Kluyveromyces lactis: one gene and its partner. The protein of the gene in region 2 interacts with the protein of the main gene of each other region in a biochemical or structural test. Links are inferred from orthologs where the notes say so. Each region holds a gene or a part of one and is shown on either strand. Other genes may lie near its edges.

What was found.
Region 1: of the proteins of SKN7 (region 2) and YPD1, one has a biochemical effect on the other in vitro, tested with the Saccharomyces cerevisiae proteins (2 studies listed by BioGRID). The link is inferred for Kluyveromyces lactis from reciprocal best matches to the Saccharomyces cerevisiae genes SKN7 and YPD1.

The regions. Positions count from the first base shown.
Region 1 is NC_006040.1:1,627,345-1,629,808, reverse strand, and holds YPD1 (Ypd1p), read right to left. Parts: upstream 1,238-2,464; coding exon 830-1,237; downstream 1-829. Other genes in the region: ssDNA-dependent ATPase MGS1, read left to right, coding at 1-449. UniProt on the Saccharomyces cerevisiae protein: Phosphorelay intermediate protein that is part of the branched SLN1-YPD1-SKN7/SSK1 two-component regulatory system, which controls activity of the HOG1 pathway and gene expression in response to changes in the osmolarity of the extracellular environment.
Region 2 is NC_006037.1:895,608-899,132, reverse strand, and holds SKN7 (kinase-regulated stress-responsive transcription factor SKN7), read right to left. Parts: upstream 2,203-3,525; coding exon 775-2,202; downstream 1-774. Other genes in the region: SET5 (S-adenosylmethionine-dependent methyltransferase), read left to right, coding at 1-381; Elongator subunit ELP6, read left to right, coding at 2,906-3,525. UniProt on the Saccharomyces cerevisiae protein: Transcription factor that is part of a SLN1-YPD1-SKN7 two-component regulatory system, which controls gene expression in response to changes in the osmolarity of the extracellular environment.

The DNA of each region.
Region 1 (2,464 bases), on a different chromosome or scaffold from region 2:
TGATACGAATAGCCAGTGAAGATGTCGGTTTATCTGATCCTTTCCAACTACCTTTTTCTGTGGCAGCTCATGATGCAGTAATGAAGGTAGGGTTACCTGAAGCTGAGCTAGCTCTTGCTCAATGTGCTGTCTCCTTAAGTAGAGCATCAAAATCGGTAGAATTGTATCGAGGGTGGAACAAACTCAAGGCAATGCTTAAAACGAACGAATCTGGAGCAGCTGATTGTCCCATCCCGTTACATATTCGTAATGCTCCCACTCGGATGATGGAAGAGTTGGGATATGGGAAAGGTTACAAATACAATCCAAACTTTAAAGATGGAAAAGTTCTGCAAGAGTATTTTCCACAGGAGTTACTTGACAGGTGTGGTCGTAAGGAACTCACGTTTCTCAATGGTAAAGCACTTGGAGACATGGAAGATCCAGATCTGACTTCTCACCAGAACTAAGTGGTGCTCTACAAGTCTAACATTAAATAATCTACATTTAAGACACTATGATAGAGTAACATCATTTAGATACGTTGAAACAGGCTTCAAGCCTATATAAGCAGGGCAGTACGATTTAGAGTACATAAGTAATAATATTCAGTCTACTTACTAGAAAGGTGCCATCAAAAGCGAGACTAATGTCACTAGAGGTGTGCTTGCAGACTTTATCATATCGTTCAAATGAATGAGAATAGCAGCACAGATATGGGGTCAATATAGTCCGCAGATAGCATGGAATGGAATAAAAATACAGGGGGGATGAAAAAGGTCTGAAATGAGATAAATTCATTCAAATGCGAAAAGAGAATATGTTGCCTGTAAAAATCAGAGAAGTAAACTTAAAATTGAGTTTTGTAGTACTGCCCTAGTTCGCTCTTGGCCGAGTCAAACTCTTTCCTTGCCAGATCCAGAGAATTTTGAATCAATTGTATATAATTATCGTCTGTAATACCGGATCCTTCTCTTTTCTGTCCGTAATTTTGAATTCTCTCACAAACCCATGCAATCCTCTGTAGACCTAGGGATGCCGAAGATCCTTTCAAAAAGTGTCCCAGCTGTCCCAGTTGATCCAAGTTCTTATCAGTTTTGATGTGCTGTTCGATTTGGTTAAAGGTAGAAGTCGCTTGCTCAAAGAATTGTATTAGTAAGGATTGTGAAAAGCCAGCATCATCTTCATCCATGGAAACAATTTCATTGAGAATATCCCAATTGATCACTTTATCTGGAATTCTAGGTGTTTGGGACATTATATATTGTGCTTTTCGTTAAAAAAAGTCACTGAATGATTCTCTCGTGTATCAGGGTAGGTCGGTTTATTCAATGGAAGGTCAGTAAATTAGCATGTATTGAAGAGTTCAATATTGCAAAAGCAAAATGAAACAAAACTCCAATGGATTAAGTATCGGCAGCTCCGAATCAATAGCGAAAAAAAAAAAAAAAATAAAGAGACTTCCGTTCAACAAAGACAGATAGATATAACAAAAGAAACCTTTTTGTATATACAATTGTCTTAACAGAAATGGATTAGCTTCAATTGCACACCCCGTTATATGAATTCTTTCAAATGTAGTCTTACACTTGATCAATTGCACCTTAACTGAGAAGTTCGAATATTTCGATTCAAAAAAAAAAAATTAAAAAATGAAAATAATCATATGTGGAAAAAAGTAAGGAAAAGAGCTTAATCCGAAAAGAGATGTATTATAAGTTTTTAGAATCAAACGTCTTTAATGACAGAAGTTGCAAATCCTGGATATTTGAGCCTAATTGCTGCCAACAGAATGTATATGCAAGCTGCCAAGTTGAAAAACTTCACTTGGTTGTTTCATTTTCTGGGCAAGACAAAAAGGTTGATTGTTCAAGCCAAGTAATTGAAGCAGGAAACTTATTTGAAAAGGGCCAATCTTCATCACAAGTACAACAACTGTGACTTGATGCTAGTCTTGGCAGTGTTATTTAGCAAAAAAATGAAGAAACCTGCCCGAAAAATACCCTGTTGTCCTTACATAGGTCTTCGTTCGAAGATATTCAACTTGATAGACAGAAACCCTTTTATCTGTTTTCTTCTTAATGTTAGTTGACGTAACTCTTTCGTAAGGTGCCTTGGTTCCTAGTGACGGAAAAAGGATAAAAAAATCGTGGTAGAAGCATAATGCTAATTCCCACTACTGATAGAGAAAAAGCTAATCTACTCAAGGACAAAAACAAGAGCAATTATTTCCTTGATGTAACTAAATGCGTACGCCATCTGAGTACGATATAGGCGCCAAATTCTTATAAGAAGAAACATGATTTCCTCCGAAGCATTAGACCATCTGCAGCCAATATTTTCAATAACCTGCAATATATTTATTTCTTACTGATGAAGGATACTTGACAGAACTGAGATGTATTTGTCTCTTGCTTATTGAGCTATTCCTCATTGCAAGCTTTGATGCGACATTCGAAGCACTCAGTTGGGTAAATAAGGACCG
Region 2 (3,525 bases):
TTATACGCTAGAAAGGATATCAAGAAGGGGGAACAGTTGCGTTTAACTTACGTGAATCCATTGCATGGTGTCACCTTGAGAAGAAGAGAACTAAGGGTTAATTATGGATTCCTCTGTCATTGTCCTCGTTGTTGTCAAGAATGGGAGAAACGCCAAAAGATAGTCAGTGACCCGTCTAACCACGCTATATCATCAGAGGCTGCACATTCATCTACCACAGCAAGGAGGAAATCCTCAATGAAAAGTTGCAGACCAAGTCTCAAGGAACTTTTAGAAAACGGTGATGAGTTCGATCTAGAAATCCCATCCGATGTCAATTCCAAGAGAAGAATGTCTGTGCGATTCAATAGCCATGTCACACTGGCCGTCGAAGAAGAATAAAACTCTGCTTATCATACTCGAATGAGCATACATAATATACCTGTACGTATACACAAATATACTCATCTGTCAACGTCATAAAAGATCCAACGAGACGAAGATTGAAAGATAATTACTAAAACCAATAATTTTATAAGTAATAAGAAGGATATAGATACAACTTTACCGTACTTTTGATCGATGTACCATCAATAATAGGAAGTACAGAATAGAATTAATAACCGAAAAAGCACAGACCAAACGTATAATAAAAGAGGACTTTTTTGGTGTTTAAAATAATGGAGAAAGAAAACAAACAAGAGTTCTTGAAGTGAAATGAAGTGTCCTGTTTTCTGGCCCATTTCTCTTTTTATCTTTTTTTTTGATAGCAGCATGAAGGATACCTTAACTGTCTTATATGTGCGGTTTCTTTAGCATTGGTTCCTCTACATACGCTTTAGGGTCATTATTAGAATTTTGTCTTTGTTCAGACAACGGGATCCGATCTTTGAGGTATCGTATTAGCATCGAGTGTAAGTCATCTTTTGTGAACGGTTTAGCTAGGATATCATTCATACCGTGTTGTAAGTAAGTGACTAAGTCCTGATCATCGATGTTACCTGTCATGGCAATGATGGGAGTTTCATTATCAAAACTTCTAACAATGGATGTCGCTGTAGCACCATCTAAATTTGGCATAACAATATCCATCAATACCAAGTCAAATCGCTGTTTTTCCAGCGTGGAAATGGCAGATAATCCATCAGTAACCACTTCCACTGAGCAACCATATTTTCTTAAGAATTTGGAGCAGAGTTGGATACAAACAGAATCGTCTTCGACAAGTAAAACGTGGAATCCTGGACGCAAGACAGGATGTTGGTCCATCGGAAGTAGCTCAATGGGTTCCTGTTTCTGTAACGTAGTATTAACCGACAGCCCTGGGATATTTGCATTGGGTGTTGATCCGGTTGAGTCCGATATTTGACGTTGCTGATGAGACTTATTATCCGCACGAGAATTACCTTTTTCGAAGGATAAACCTACGGGTACTTTTAAACCCTGCTGCGATAACGCATCGACAAGAATTTGGAAATTAGAAATTAATTGGGAGTTAAAGGATTCAGTGGAAAGGAGACTTTCCAACGCCATATTGTACTTAGACTGAATCTTTTGAAGGTCCAGTTTCATATTATGATTCTCATTTGTTAGATACTGGACCTGGTTTTCCATGTCTTCCACCTTCCGCTTTAATTGGTTGAATTTGGTCTTGTTCACCGTGTTTTTCAGAAGCATCTTCGCAGTCATACCTTCTTCGTCACCGGCAATGAAGGCACCATCGTCTCCGGGTGCACCACCTAGTTTCCTCACTATTACGGAGTTCTCATCCACCAGTATTTTCTTCTGTGATGACGGTTTCCTGCGAATGTTATCCAACCCTGCCTCATCGTGTCTTCTAAAATACTGATGGTTGAATTCCCACGCGTTTTGAATCCCCTCAGACACTTCGTTCTTCTTCCTCTTGACTTTATGGAAGTCGTACTTGTTCAACTGCCTCACAAAACTCGCAAAATTCGAATGCTTGAAGTGTTTAGGCAAGATATCCGTCGTAAATTTATTCGTGTCTAGCACTATAAAATTCTTACCATCAGGCGACCACGATATAATGCTGGTATATTCCTCTGATTCCAATATTAGAAACAATTTTCTAACAAAATCATTGAACGACGTCCTTTGACTCTTCCCCTTACCGTTGGAACCAGACCCTCCAGGCACAGAGCCAATTCCATTGTCGTAATCGTCTTTATGGCCCTCACTCAATTGTTCACCTAAATCATCCATTTTTTTTCGTCCGTTCTTTTGCTCGTCCTTTGTTCTATGAATGAATCTGAATCCAGCAGAAACTCTCTTACTGATACCGTCAGTGTCAAAGTGAACCAAGTACAACTAAGCCCGTAAAACCTAAGCCCCAGATAAAATCACTTCGCTAAAAAGAAAACCTGTACTCTTGGAACAAAAGAAACACAATTCAGAAGGTTAAATGCCACACGAACAAACGGCAACAGTGATACAGTCCGTGATAAACCACAACCAAGAGGCACAGACGTCTGCTATTTAAACAGTTTGACGTTGTGTTTGTTATCGTCATTTCGGTTCGTGTGTTTTTTTTAAACCTTTCTGGACACAATTTTTCATGAACCCAGAAGAAAAAGACGAGCAATTTCGGTGAATTTGGCAACGGAAAGTGGTAATTTACTTCCGGTAGAACTATTATTTTTGAATAAGAACTAAATATTTAAATAGGCCTGATTATAAGGTACATAGTAATGTAATCCATGTTCGAGGTTAACTACCGGAAGTGTTACTTTTCTGCTGTTTTGTTGTGTCTGGTGTTTCCCAGTTTTTGTCTTTTTTTTTTTTATACTTTACAGGTTGAATTTCAAAATGAAATAGTAGCAAACGATGCGATGAGATGACGTTTCTTGTTGGTACCACCGGCTCTATTCAGCTGCTCGTAACTCTTTGAGCACGTATTACAAGGGATATGTCGGTGCAAAAACAGGAGCTTCAGATTTTTAGTGACCATTCTGTGCTTTCCAGGCATCTATTCACAGATTCGTCATCCAATTTGGTTTTGGTGACAGATACGGTAGCGACGAATGCATCCTGGTTTGTCAACGCACTTGTGGAAACGGTCACTTTAGGTGGGCCCGTCTCTTTAAATGGGAATAACAGTGGATCCAATAGCGGTTTGAGCAGCAGTGATCCCGTGAAAGTGGTAGTCGGATCGTTTTTGAACCATCAATCGTATTTTACAACTGCATTTGACAGGTTGAAGGTACCACGGAATAGATACAACGTCTTACAAATAGCAGAGGATCTTGTTGTCAAAAACGTAGGTAAACCTGTGGATGTAGTTATTGAATGGGTTTTGAAGCAGTTTGAAGAGTCGTTATCCAACAGTCCTTCAGTGGTAATATTGGAAAAACCGGAAATTTTAATGGCACTCTTCAAGTTGAACAGTGACGAGTTGCATTTGAAATTGATCAACCCTTTACTTAAACTATGTTCCTTACTTATAGTCGTCAACTCTGTGGAGTCCTTCGATAACGATTTCCCAGAACATCTGGGTAAGGATACCGTCGAGTTTGTAAGGTTTACCAC